Caenorhabditis elegans: one gene and its partner. The protein of the gene in region 1 interacts with the protein of each later gene in a pairwise test. Each region holds a gene or a part of one and is shown on either strand. Other genes may lie near its edges.

Region 1 (7,192 bases):
ATACCGACAGATCCTCTCTCATCAAAATTCAAATCTCATCTCTCTTATATTTATCAATTATATCGACAGATCATTTTTTAATTAAGTTTATTCGAATAAATATCATCATCAATAACAATTTTTACAAAATTATACAATAATATCAATAACAGTTTGAAAATTTAAACAATACTATCAATAATAGAGTTACGCATAAAGTCTAGGGCAAATATTTGATCGAATTCGGCGTAGACGACACAATAGAGGCCACCCACAGGGGTCTCGGTCTTAAAGTTTAGACGAACGCAAACGTTTGTCTGCCGAACTAGTTCAAAGAGAGAATTATCTTGAGCCACAGGGCTCAACTCGAATCCAAAAATCGTATATCCTTTAGATCTAAGCATTCCAATGTCGATCGAATTGCAGCTAAAGTTGTTTCTAGTGTGACCAAGTGTTTCCTGAAGTTGTACGTAGGCCTCCACGAATTTGTTATTTTCAAAGTCTAGATTCATTGGTCGTCCTGGAACTGTTTGACCGCAAAAATCAATGTGAACGTCCTGCACACCATATGGTTTGAAATTGAACGGAGTTGTTCCGAATGATCCGTTGTAAGCTTCGCTTGAAACTAGACCAAGAAAGAGTGGCGGAAAACAAAGCAAGATAAATGGCCGCTGAAACTTGTCGGCCCCTCGGCCATGGCCTAGAAACCACTTTTCCTCGTCCCTCGTGAGGAAAAAGTTGCAGTGGAATTGGTCAATCCACTCGCTACGATTGTCCGAGGAAGAATCAAGTTTGCTGGTGGACATTCAGATGAACGTTATCCGCTTCGTCAAATGGCCAAAGTATATTCGTCTTTAGCGTCGCAGTAGAGTCAACGCCATCACTAGCCTCGTCGAGACTCTCCGAGCTCAATTGGTTCTCATCGCTCATGACGTCAACCCACTTGAGATCGTGCTCCACCTTCCAGTCCAATGTTGAAAGTACAACGTTCCATACGCCATCATCAAGGAAAAGGCTTTCCTCTGAGCAGTTGAAAGACCACAGCTGATGTTGCTCTGGTCGATGTCAACCCGTAAGTTTCGATTTGTTTCCGTTTGGATTGTCCTTCAATCCAGTCGTTTTCAGAGAAGACAAATCTGTTTGGATATCTTCCATTTTGGTCCGGTCTCTCGTTTCGTGGTACTCTCCGAATGCTGATTGTCTGAAAATTTAAAGTTTATGGAAAAAATTCTTTTTAGCAATTTATTTACCTATGAAGATTTTGCAGATGATAGTGCCACGTTTTCCGGGGTGACACCACACCCTCGTTTGATTGGAGAGCATTTCTGGAAATAAATGATGAAGTTTTTTGAAAAGATTGAAAAGACCAAACATAATAAAAAAAATCAACGGTTAAAACAGAAAATTTTTGTTTAACTTCCATCATTTTTAATGCAGAAAAACAAAGTAAAACTCTTAAAAATTATTTTAAATTGAATTTCACTCAAAAGTACCGTCACAACACAGTATTTCGTGTATTTTACAAATAAAAAGTGTACTTTTCAAGTAAAATCAGTAAAAAATTACGTGAAAAGAGAAAATTTCGTCAAAACGCAGTGGTAGACAAAAAAAGAGTATAAATATTGTCGTTTGTAGTCCAAGTCTCAACCAGTGTATTATTAATGAACGTTTTCTTAAATTTTAGACACAAAATCACAAGTTCAAGTAATTTTGTAGATTTCTTATAGTTAGAATCAAAAATTTAAAGTTTTCTAAGATCCGGTGATTTTCAACGAAAATTCAGAAAATTTACTAAATTTTCAGATTTATTGGGTGAAAATTTAACTTTTAAAACTAAAAAAAACCTGAAAAAAGCGCTGTAAAACGCAAAACCGAGCTCCTACAGTCTACAAACTACAAAAGTGAATGCGCGTCAGGTGTGGCGCTTTGTACGCAAACACCAAATCTGACGACAATCTGAAAAAACAAATTTTTCCACCGCGAATTTCGAATTAGAAACCGATTTTCCTCGATTTTTCTCATTTTTTTCCCGAAAAATGTCGATTGCGTATGGTTTCGACCCGAATATTTCGCCAATTTATGATGATGACGATGACGAGCACCGCCATTCCACCCATTTCAGCTCGGCGGACACTCCGAAAAAGGTTTTTTCGATTTTTTTTCTTTCATTTTTCAAATAAAAATTTTCTAAATAAGAAAATAAAGTGAATTTTCAATTTTTTCGCAGACCGGACGCCCGAGTAATCGAACAATGGGCACTTCAATTCAAATCAGTGGGGATTTCAGTGATCTCAGCAGTTTTCGCCCGGAAAACTCGGTGATCTCTGAAATTGTTCTGGATTCCGGCGATGAAGAGGAGGTTCCAGATTCTCGAGAAGATGTTTTAGCATGTGATGATGATGAAGAAGTACCTGAATCTGTTGGATATCTGGCTGGAACTGTCATTGTGCTCTCCGCCGGGTGCTGCCTGCCTATTCGACATCATTTGTCGAAAAAATTAATTGTTAGTGGGGGGAAATTCAAATTTTTCATCAAATTTTGTTGAAAATTGTGTAAATCTCGCGGAAAACTGCTGAAAAATGCCTAAAAATGATTTAAAATCAGCTTACCGTACGGCAAAATTAAAGGTACATAGCAAAATTCAAGTGGTGGGTCTCGACGCGAAAGTTTATTTTTAACAGAAATATTCGAATTTTTAGGTTTTTCGACAATTTTCTTCAATTTTTACTCACTTTTTCCTTAAGAAACCGAGAGAGAGAGGAGATTTTTTCAGGAAATGGGTGCAGAAATTCAAAAAACAATCGATAACCGGACCACCCATATTGTCGTAGACCGTTATGCCGACGAAAAGCTTGTCGGAGAGGCAATGTCCAGAAAACCGGAGCCTCCGATGATGGTAGACGTGAAATGGATTCAGGAATGTCTGGATAATCGACAAAAATGCAAAGAAAACGATTTTTCCATGATTGGGCTGAGATATTTAAAGTATCGATTTTTTTCAAAAAAATTTGGTATAAATTGCCAAATTTTCAGACAATCGTGCCGCCGGCTCTCAAGCTTCCGGGAACCTACTCCATTAGGCGATGAGGAGGAAACTTTTTGGGAGGATATGGAAAATGATGCTCCAACTGACCCTGCAAAGCTTTTGGAGCAAATTCGGAAGCTCTCGGAGAGGCTTGATGCTTTAATGGATTGTAAACCCCGTAAAATGAGGATTTTCAGTCAATGTATTTAATGTTTTCAGACGTTCCCGTCATCAGATTCGAATATCATTCTCCGGATTGCCCTAGTACGATTTTTTTTTGTAAAAAAATCCGAACAAATCGCTAAAAAGACGATAAATAGTGCAACAAGCTCTTTTTTTGCTCAAAAATCCTCGCAAAATCGTAGAAAAATCTCAAAAAATAAGTGAAAATCCATGTTTTTTCAAAAAAACAATTTTGTTGAGGCTAGAATTATTGTAGTTTGTAGTCTGAGCCTCAACCACAACGTTTTCAGCCAATTTTTGGGTTTTTTTTGCAAAAATAAATCAAATGTTCTATTGAAAGCACTGAAATTGTGAAATTTTATTTTTTAAATTCAATTTTTGAGTAAAAAATGATTTGGTTGAGGCTCAGACTACAAACTACACTTTTTCTAGCCTCACCGAACTTTTGAGTGAGGCTAGAAATACTGTAGTTTGTAGTCTAAACCTCAATCAGAACGTTTTCGACCAAATTTTGAAGTTTTTTTGCAAGAATGAATAAAATGTTCTATTGAAACCACTGAAATTGTGAAATTTTATTGAAATTATTCTTTAAAATTCAATTTTTGACTACAAAGCTCAGACTACAAACTACACTTTCTCTAGCCAAACCAACTTTTGGGTGAGGCTAGATGAAAAAACGTTAAAACCCGGAAAATTTAGAATTTTTATTCAAAAACTCTAAAATTTTGACGGAAAATTTTGAAAAGAACAGATTTTCAAAAAATTTTTAGTCGAAAAATGAATTTTCCCTGCGAAAAATTAAATTTCGAAAATAAAAAAAAATTTCAAATTTTGAATTTTCTATCAGAAATTCTGCTTTAAAAATTGTAAATTTCATGAATTTTTTTTAAAATTCGAAATTTTATGCGAAAATTATATAAATTTGGAAAAATAATGATTAAAATTCGATTTTCAATTCGAAAAATGAAGTTTTCCGCATTTGGTTGAGGCTCACACTACAAACTACACTTTTTCTGGCCTCAACCAATTTTGGGTGAGGCTAGAAATAGTGTAGTTTGTAGTCTGAGCCTCACCCAATATTTTTTAGATGTATTTTCCAAATTTTCGGAGGCAAAATCGATATTTATTCAAAACCTGACTCCAATTTCTATTGAGAATGTTGAAAATCTTGAAGAATTTACGTATAAAATTTCGAATTTTTGAGTGAATTAAAAAAAAATGTTTTTTAAAAAAATTTTCCAGCTCGCCAGCAACCTCAACCACCAGCTCCTCCTGCAAAAAAAGCTTCTCAAAGGCCTAAAAACTCTAGAATCCCGTCTCCAGAAGCCCTACAACAGCTTTTCACATCGATTTCCACGTCTTCAACGCTCCGAAGGCGCCGTTCCTTTACAGGATTTGTTCTAGAGCACCGGGAGCCGGGAAATGCAGCGCTAGAGGTTCAAGAAGCGAATAATGATGTCAGAAACACGTGGAATCCGGAACTTGGCGCCAAAAAACCGAGAAAAACGCGAAAAGCGCCTCAAAAAACGGTGAACGACATGCGAAAAACAATGGCGGCGGATTTGACGACAATTCGTGACGTTTTGGCGAAAAATTCCGATTTAAATAGAGCGAGAACGCCGAAAAAATCGAAGAAACCAGCTAAAAATTCAAATTCCCGCCAGAAAATGATGCCCGTCCACGTGGATGACTCGGATATTCAATCAGCGTTAGCATCGTTGACAATAAGTGAAGCCCCCAGAGAATGTTCGGTGCAAATTCTGGTCCCGACACGCTCAAACGTGATTAATCAGCTTCAAAAGCGACACGAAGAGGATGATGATGACTTTATTTCTGATGTTTCAGCGTTTTTACAGCGAAAAACTATGAAAAAATCGAGAAATTTAGGTGAAAATTCGAAAAATGAAGTGATTTTCACCGGGTTTAGTAAAGAGTTGGGGATTTTTGCTCCGAAAAAAATCCGAATTTTTGAAAATTTCCAGCTCTCCAATCGAAAAGAAGCTGAAAACCATCGTTCGCCGGTTCAAAATGACGATTAGCACGGAAATTGATGAAGAACGGACGCTTTGTGTCGTTTCGAGACACGGAAAACGGACGCTTTTGGTGCTTCGGGCGATTTGTTGTGATGTACCCATAGTTCGACCGCAATGGGTATGAAATTTGACAGAGTTTAGGCGGAAATTTGAGAAAATTCGAAAAATCCCGAAAAAAATCTACAAAATTTCAAGCCTCAACCAAAAATTGATTTCAATTTTGGTTGAGGCTCACACTACAAACTACATGTTTTCTAGCCTCAACCAACTTTTGGGTGAGGCTAGATATATTGTAGTTTGTAGTGTGGGCCTCAACCAACCTTTAATTTGATTTTTTGTTGAGGCTAAAAATTTCGTAGTTTGTAGTGTGAGCCTCAACCAACTTTTAGGTGAGGCTAGAATTATTGTAGTTTGTAGTGTAAACCTCAACCACAACGTTTTCGACCATTTTTTGGAGGTTTTCGCAAAAATGAGTCAAATGTTCTATTTAAACCGCTGAAATTATGAAGAACTTTTGGGTGAGGCTAGAAATTATGTAGTTTGTAGTCTTAGTCTCAACCAACATTAATTTAAAATTTCTCGAATTTAGCGGAATTTTCAATTAAAACTTGAGATTTTTAAAAATGTTCATAATTTTAGCAATTTTCAACAATATGATCTGAAAAATACTTGAATTTTTTGAATATTGTATGTATTCTGAAATTGGTTTAAAAAACTCCTTGAAAACTCCAAACTACAATATTTCTAGCCTCAACCATTGGGTGAGGCTAGAAACATTATAGTTTGTAGTCTGAGCCTCAACCAATTTCCCAAAAATTTTCAGCTAGAAGAATCATTTGAAGACTCCCAACTCCTTCCCTCTTCCGACTACATTTATCAGGAATGGCTTCGAATCGAAAATTTGAAAATTTTCGCCAATTTCCATTTGAGAATGTGGATCGCGCCCGAATGTACTCCAGACTCTGCGGATTTGGCTTGGATGATCGAAAAATGCGGTGGAAAAGTACGGGAAATGGAGAAAAAAGTGTTTTTTTCCTGAAAAAACTCATTTTCCTCTCTGAAATCCTTGAAAATCCAACTTTTTCAAATTTTTTCATGAAAAATTTTCCTATTTTCTCACTGAAATGCATTAAATGTCCGATTTTTGAAGCTATTTTCTCCTGAAAAAGCTCTAAAGTTCAACTTTTTCCATTTTCCAGGTAACCCGCCACCTGCATCGTGCTGATCTCGTCATTGCACCTGAAAATTGGGAAATTCCAGCCGAAAACGATGTGGAATTCGAGCTTGCCACGCCGCTTTTCGTGATTGATTCGATTTCGATGGCTGAATTGCAGAATTTCCGAGAATATTCTGTGATAATTTGATTAATTTTGTATTTTTTATCGCATATGATGCTTTTTTTTTAATGATTTTTCAATTTGTACCATTTAAAAAAATTTTTCAACATTTTCCATCCGAAATTCCTGGTTTTTGGCTTATTTCCACTAAAATATCTCTGAAATTGTTTATTTTAACCCTAATAATCCTTATAAACAATGCAATAAGCCCCGGTGGCCTTGGAAAATGGCGGCCGCGGCCATCATTTTCCCCGGAGCCAGCCCGATGCACATTTTGCTCTTTTTAGTGCATTTTAGTTGGCTTTTCATCGATTTTCTTTTTTGTTTTGCTATAAAATTTAATAATTGAGCGAATTTCTTCTGGAAAAACTTGAGATTTTTACTCAAAATTATAAATTTTATGAGATTTTTGTCAGTTTCCACACTAATTTTCGTTAAAAAATGTCGAAAATGCTGTATTTTAATGTAAATTCCATGAAAAATGAGCCAAAATCCGCTGGTTGAGGCTCAGACTACAAACTACATCATTTTCCATCTCTTTGGTGAGGCTAGAAAATTTGTAGTTTGTAGTGAGAGCCTCAACCAACCGCTTTTAAAAGTTAAAATTTTCTGATTTTTGTTTCAAATTGGCCGTT
Region 2 (7,798 bases), on another chromosome or scaffold:
AATATTGAGCAACTGCATTGTAGCAAAATTAATGAGCAGGTGGATGATGAAAAAAGATGGAACAGCTAAAAGTTGGAGAAGGAAACACTGGATTAGCGATATAAAATTAACACAATGTTAACATAGAAAAAAGGCTTACTCAAGGAAAATAATGCCTTCAAAATTCACCATTATTGGAAAAAATTTCCCTGATTGTATATTTGAGCTTGAAATCGTAAATTGCAATTGCGTTCTCGACTTTTTTTGTGCGCTCCAATGAGAAATTATTTGGGTGCGACTTTGAAAAAAGTCATTGGGACGCAAATGGAATTTGCAATTTCAAGATCAAAAATAAAATGAGGGAAATTTTTTTCACATAGATATTCGAAGTCATGCACAAATTTGGAGTCATTTGAAGATAGTTCCTAGACTTCGGTTCTCCGCCTCTAATATGAAATATACTTGTTAGAATAAAAATAAATGATTTTACAAAAGCTAACATGCGCATCTTTTAACATTTATGTGAAAAAAATTGGAGTAAGTTTCAGTGTTTCACAACAATTGGAAACATGAATCACTCAGTGATAAATCAACTTGGTTCAGAGTGGTGTTTTCAAATGCAACATTTGCTTACGTAAAGGGTAGGCAACATTTTTGTACAAGAATCATGTCATACGACAATAATAAAAATTTTAGATTAGAAAATCTCATGAACTCAAAATACAAAAAAAGATACTTAGAAAAGCGACATAAAAACCAGAAAAAAAAATTTATGCATGAATTATTCAAAAAATGAATGACGGAATTTCAGTCATGCTATCAGCCATTTGGGTAACGTTTCCTTACAACAGATTGGAAAATCGGTGGACATCTCCATGTCTATTGTCTGCAATATGTGATTTGAAATAAAAACATATATGGGGCAATAGTAGTTATGTTTTTCAGCAGTTTAATATATATGTAAACTACCATGTTAGCAAATAACTTGAACCGAGAGAAAGAGAGAGGGATGGGAGGTTCATTACTGCAAAGACTGCACTGTTTATCAATCACTAGGAGTAAGCACCGAAATTGATCTCTAGCCCACAATGATTAAACAAAAAATTAGGACAGGATTTTCATGACAGCCTAAAAATAAAAAATGTAGGAAAAAGTTTAAAAACATTTTACAGATGGTTTCGGTTATTACGATTTAATTTCTATAATTGTAAAATTTCACACAGACTTTGCTTCAACTTAGAATTGGAAACATGCAAAAAGAGCGGCTATAATTTCAATTTAAATCGAAGCTCCAACGTTTTATCAGCACCTTTGTATCACTCCGCGATGCCATGCAGTCATTTACTCGTATTCAAAATTTGATGATTGTCAGCATAATTATTTGATGAATTTTTTCAGTTTTCACTTGCGTGTTTTTGTTATCAAAGTAGAAAAGAAGGGTAAAACGCGTTACAGATGCAATATTAGTTTATAGTACATTGCGCTCACGCGTTTTATCAGTGCCTAAATGGCAAGTGCGTCTCCGAGAATTTATAGTTAACAGTTGTGTCTTTTGTCTTGGTACTTAGTTTTCAATATATTTCTAACTATGTTTTGTCTTAGGCCTAGATTGACGATTTTTTTGTTTGCAACTTGAGATTAAGAAGAGAAAAAAGTTATGTTAAATTTCGTAAATAAATTTAAATAATGATAATCAAATTTTTGGTGAAGTGATTTTAAAGCCATCAAGTTAACTATTAAGTTATGGAAGCTCTATATGATTAAGTTTCATTTAAATGTTTCAGTAACTATTCAAATTTCAGATTATAACGACATTTGTGCATCTCTAGTTGTTTACAGTTTAGTAATTGGTGACAAAGTATCCTCAGTCGGATTTCACACTAAACAACGGTTAGTTTGCCATTTAAAAAAGTAGGATTTTCAAAAATATTTGTGCGTTATGGCAAAATTGAGCTTTTACAATAAAAATAAAAATACAAAGATCAAAACTATATAAAGTTTAAAATTGCTAGCATTTTTTATCAACCTGTAAAATAATAATAAATAGGCGAAAACATTTTTATTGAAACTGAATTACTTTTTTTTATTTTTTAAATTATTCCTCCATGCTTATTGACCATGTTAGTACAGTAGGAATTATTTTATACAATTCTGCTATGGGCGCCACCCCACATTTATTTTATTTCTCCATAAGTTTTAAACACCAAATATATGTTTAAAAACTGCCAAAACATTCAATTTCATTTGGTTGTTTGAATTGAGTTTTTTTTTCAATGTTGTCAGCTTTATCATTTTAGACTCAACAAAAAACTTTGAAAAAGAGGTTATCAGCGCTTGTTCTGATTGGCATAACACAATTAGCACAAACTGATTTTCATATTTTTTCAGTGTAGTTTTAATGTTCTGGGTTTGAATACCAATCATTTTTTCGTTTCTTCTAAATATTAACTTTTTGCAACAGGATTTTTAGAAAATATTTAAAATTTGAAGAATTAGTTACATATGACAAGCAGAATTATCACTTTTTTTAAGTGAACACGTTTTTTTTTTCATTTTCAGGAAGTTAATTTGTTAAATTGTCAGACATTTTCTCGCTAAAAACTGAGAACTTTCAATTTTTAGGCAAACTCACTTTTCACTTTTTTGTGTACTTTTCTGACCAGGTTCAATTTTTGCTATGAAAATGAGAATACAGCATTTTTCATATATTGTTTTTAAAAATAATTGTTGAGTTTTTCAAATAGTCCCAAATCACCAGATATTTTTGCAAATGTTTTTTTGAACATTTTATATGATCAGTCAAAAAGGTATAAATTTGGAAGTCGATAGAAAACCTTTTTCTATGCACTTATGGCACATTAATTTTTTGGATCTGAACATCAAAAAATGTTAAACCATTTTATGAGAAATTTTTGTCCAATTTTGGAGATCTTTTTTAAATTTAAAAACATCTCAATTTTGAAACATTGTTTTATTTCTTTTAGTTCTTTGTGTTTTTTTTTCAATTCGTATTTGACATTTTAAAAAATCCACAATATTGCAGTAATGGGCGATAAAATAACCGGTTTGGAGGTTGAGATTATTCCGGAAATTTCAGAAGTTCAACCTGAATCTCTTCAAGAACAGAACGCCTCGTCGTTATATTACCCACTTTTCTCGCAATATATACCTCTTTTATTAACTGGAACAAAGAAAATATTAGAGGACATCGATTATTGCACATGTTTTGCGGTTTTCGGTGTGGTTTTTGTGAGTGCATTGTACTTTTTGCACATTGTTGGTTTATGCTATGGGTGAGTTTTTTGAGTCTTCAAAATGAAAATCGAGCCAGACATTAAAAAGTTAATAAAAAATTTTCATAGAATTCTGTAACCAAAATAGAATCTCGCAGCTGCCTAATTATGAAAATATACTTTCTGCAGCAATTTTTATAATTAGGCTTTTTGTAAAGTCTATGAAAAGATTTGGAAATAGTTTCCTACTGAACCTCACATGAGCTCATTTTTCATTTTTATAAGTTTTTTTTTTAACTTTCAGAAAATAAATTGTTTCAAATTGAAAAAATTATAAGATTTTTAAAAAGTTGAGGGAAATTACATATCGTAATTTTCTAATTCATTGTTGCTACAAAAAACTATTTAAAAAAAAACCATCACAAAAAATATGTTGACACTCGGGACCAGTAGAGGGGAGTCAGTCACCCTACCGAGTGACAAACAGCGTATTACAGATACGCGCGGAGAGACACGGAGCAAGGTTCGAGCGGCATTGGTGATAAGCGGTGCGGAGAGAATAACAGTACACAGTTTCAGATGAATTCCAGTTTATTCAGTGGATATAAATAGGAATTAAAGTGATTAACAGAATGGAAATGGTGCAGAAAGGTCCTGAATCACAGTGTCTGCGGATGGGTAGCCGCTGACTCGTCTGGAGAAAGTAGAACAGAATGAACGATTGGCCTAAAAGTAGGTTAGAATTATTGTGTGGATTTACGGAGCTATGACGCTTCGGAATAACGGGAGTTATCGGAGGAGCGCGCTTGCATCGGGAAATACGCAAATGGCGGTAATTCAAATGGGATGTATTATTAATAGATAATAAACGGAAAAGGACAACGGAGAGTGAATGTATTCGCGGATAATGAGTGGTGGCGAGTGGGTGAGCCTGACCGGTCATATATCTGCAAAGTTGGGACGCAGGGAAAGCGTTAGGCCCAAATCACAACAAAATACACTTTTGGCTTTTTTCGAATTATAAGCAAGTCGGACGACAACAAATATGAAACGATATTCACAAGATTTTGTGAGTCAAAAGTTTTTTTTTTAACTATGGAAACACGAAATATCGGCTTCAAAAAACCGATGCAATCCCCAATAAAATATACAGTTAAATTTTGTTAAATTTTTTAAACAAATTTTCCAGGGTTATAGAATTGTTATCTTAAATAAATACTATTTTAAACATCTAACATTTTCTTTTCACAAGTTCTTGCTCGGATTTTCGAATACTGTTTACACTAGCTGTTTTTTTCTAAAAGAACCTGTTCCAGAAAGTATCGACTCCACCGTCCAACCAAACCCAACCCTTCACTACCCGGAGTCTCAATTATCAAGCCAATTATAGGAGCCGACGCTAATTTATACACAAATTTAGAAACATTTTTTACAACGCAGTATCACAAATTTGAACTTCTATTTTGCTTTGACAGATCAGATGATCCAGCAGTGAAGGTAGTGGAGAGCTTAGTCAAGAAATATCCCTCAGTTGATTCAACTATGTTTTTTGGTTAGTTCTATCCGAAAGAACGAAATTTTCAACAAATAATTCCAGGTGGCGAAAAAATTGGCCTGAACCCAAAAATCAACAACATGATGCCAGCTTATAGAATAGCCAAGTACCAACTTATAATGATTAGTGATAGTGGAATATTTATGAAATCTGACGCAGTTTTGGATATGGCAAGTACAATGATGAGCCATGAGACAATGGCGTTAGTGACGCAAACTCCGTATTGCAAGGACAGAAAAGGGTTTGCTTCGGTTTTTGAGCAAGTGAGTTGTATTGAATGGTCAAAACAAACAAAAACTCTAGCAAGTCAAAAAATTGCGCGCCAATCCAAATTTTGAAGCGTCTTACGCTAATTTTTATCGTTGTTAACGTACTTGCCTGTTTTAATATCGCCTTGAGTATTTCAGTATGGGCTACACTTGTTAGTAATCTCCCCACATCGACTACTTCTTCTTTAACATTGATACATATAGACTAAATAGTTTTAGATATATTTCGGAACCTCTCATGCCAGAATTTATCTAGCCGGAAACTGCCTCCAATTCAACTGCCCAACCGGAATGTCATCGATGATGAAAAAGGAAGCATTGGATGAATGTGGCGGCTTTGCTGCGTTCAGTGGATATCTTGCCGAGGATTACTTCTTCGGGAAGAAACTGGCGTCTCGAGGATACAAATCAGGAATTTCTACACATCCAGCGCTACAAAATTCTGCTGCGGTAACCATGACGTCATTCACGGATAGAGTCTGTCGATGGGTGAAGCTTAGAATGGCAATGATGCCTCAAATTATTTTTGTGGAGCCGCTGCAAGTGAGTCTTCATAGTAAAAAGTATTATATTGGGGGAGGTGGAGAATAAGCTCCAGGAATCTTTGTTATCATTACGCTATTTTATGTGACAATAGATTAAAAAAATTTTCATACCATCAAGGCCTTAACTCGGAGCCATTTTTTGAGGCATCTGTCCGATCGCGCTTCTTTTCCGCTGAGTTGAATAAATTGGTTTTGTTTAATTTAAAATGAAGTATGTGGATTTATTGAAAACTTAAAAAAAACCAGACTAGTTTAAAAACAACATTTTATTGATCGTTAAAAAAATATTAAATTGTTTTTATTTATAATAAATTCAAATTTCGGAATGTCAAAAAAAAGTTCCTTACTATTACTATGACTCCTATCTATGACTCCTATCCTTACTATGACTGTTTTGCATTATTTCTGCATGCAAAATCATATATTCATATATGAACATTTTTTAACAACCAACAAACAACTTTTAAAATTTTCACCTTTTTTAAGCTTCTGTCAAATGAAAGCACATAAATGATACTATAGATTCCTACAATTTGAGAACAATCTACCTGGTGAAAAAAATTATGAATTTTGGCCCGGAACATATTAACCCTAATTGTTCTTGCAGCCGCAAATTTGAGAAAAGAAGTGTTCAAGTGAAAATATAACAGTTCAACAAATTTCAGGATTGCTTCCCTTCTGCACTCATAATTTCCTTCAGTCTCAACTACATTGCTAATATTGATATGCTTACAACAATCATGCTTCACGTAGTGTTTTGGATTACTATGGATTGTATGGTCATGTGCAAAATGCAGGTATGAAAATGTTTATTGAAAAAATTATTCACAACTGCAGTTGAATGTGATTCACCGGTAAAAGTATACATTTGTTGACAAGATAGAGATTTTTCCGTTACACTTTTCAATATGTGTGGAAAAGTGTATTTTTGAACTACAGCCATAAGATGCGTGGGCGGTTGCAAATGTTCAATTTGAGGGTAGAAGTGACATACACAGGTAATGCGGGAACAGTCCAATGGCGGCTCAAAAACCGCGGACAGCTGTTTCGCTAAACGGCATATGAGTTACTTTTGTGTTGAGCTTGTTTTTGTTATTGTTTTACTCTGTTCTTAGCCTGAGAGTATTTTAAGAACTAACAATGACAAAAACTGTGTTCCAAACAAATAGGTCGTGAGCCGGCCGAAAAACAGTATTTGAAAGCCAATTTTTTGTCTTGAAATTTGGTATTTGGTTGACTTTTTTCTCAAACCATTTGACAAAACAAGAACATTGAAACTATTCTATTTGTGTATTTTCGTTTTGTAGTTACTTTATTTTTTAATTGTTTGGTTTTTTTTCAGCCAATAAAAAAACGGTTATAGTTTTTCAAAGAAAGCCATACAACAGTTCAAAGTGAATTTCAATTTCAAGAAAATCAATCAATAAAAAATATAATGATTTTTTAAATAGAACTGTTCTGTTTAAAAACTTTCAATGTTTTTGGGTTAAACAATTTTCTGAAAAAAACTTTCGAGGTAATCCAAATATCAGACTTTGAGAAAAAGGTGGAAACACTTGAAATCTACAGTAAATAACTTGATTTTGAAAAACTAAATGAAAGTAGTAAGTTTACATAAATTCTCATAAAAATTTTCTAGAATAAACAAAAACTGAAAATGTCTCATTTTTTGTGGTCCACTTTTTTTGGAATAGCTCAATTGGGTTAAGATTCGTTTTTTTTTGCTCTAAACATACAAAACGTGATTGCGTTAGATATTAACGTCACATCGATAACAGCTATTGTTAAAAATCAATAAAAAAAATCTCCAGAGTTTTTCGATTTTTTCAGAACAAATTAGCAAAAAAGCTGGCCGAAATAGTTGAAACTCATAGACTATATATATATACTACTGACTGTATATACTGACTGCCTACTATAAGTCTTCAAAATAAAATTTTGGAAAAAAAACATAAATTGACGATATACTTCAAAACTTATTTGCCGACCTAATAACACGTAACACTGCCGAACAACCGCCATTGGACCGCATCGGGCTGTCGTCGGCTGAAAATAGCCCCCACCGGAGGCTCGGTTTTTGAAGTTTAGTTGGGCGCCAGATAGCCGCATCCGGCCCGCCGTTTGACCATTCCCGCTTTACATGTGTTCCTTTGTGATTAAAATATATTATTTTTTGTAGTTTCAGTGTTTTCTCAATAAAAAAAAACGGTATTTCAT

The links. Proteins that work in one complex are often made in the same cells at the same time.
Region 2: the proteins of W04A8.1 (region 1) and cgt-2 interact in a two-hybrid assay, tested with the Caenorhabditis elegans proteins (one large-scale study listed by BioGRID).

The regions. Positions count from the first base shown.
Region 1 is NC_003279.8:13,834,816-13,842,007, reverse strand, and holds W04A8.1 (protein-serine/threonine phosphatase), read left to right. Parts: upstream 1-1,920; 5' UTR 1,921-2,015; coding exon 2,016-2,123; intron 2,124-2,206; coding exon 2,207-2,482; intron 2,483-2,752; coding exon 2,753-2,964; intron 2,965-3,012; coding exon 3,013-3,173; intron 3,174-3,223; coding exon 3,224-3,268; intron 3,269-4,429; coding exon 4,430-5,120; intron 5,121-5,169; coding exon 5,170-5,338; intron 5,339-6,043; coding exon 6,044-6,223; intron 6,224-6,419; coding exon 6,420-6,584; 3' UTR 6,585-6,681; downstream 6,682-7,192. Other genes in the region: W04A8.2 (Ovule protein), read right to left, coding at 1,101-1,180, 1,230-1,302.
Region 2 is NC_003284.9:17,693,451-17,701,248, forward strand, and holds the start of cgt-2 (Ceramide glucosyltransferase 2), read left to right. Parts: upstream 1-1,781; 5' UTR 1,782-1,869; intron 1,870-3,022; 5' UTR 3,023-3,024; coding exon 3,025-3,272; intron 3,273-3,788; exon of another isoform or gene 3,789-3,896; intron 3,897-4,528; coding exon 4,529-4,764; intron 4,765-4,809; coding exon 4,810-5,030; intron 5,031-5,255; coding exon 5,256-5,579; intron 5,580-6,246; coding exon 6,247-6,378; intron 6,379-7,798.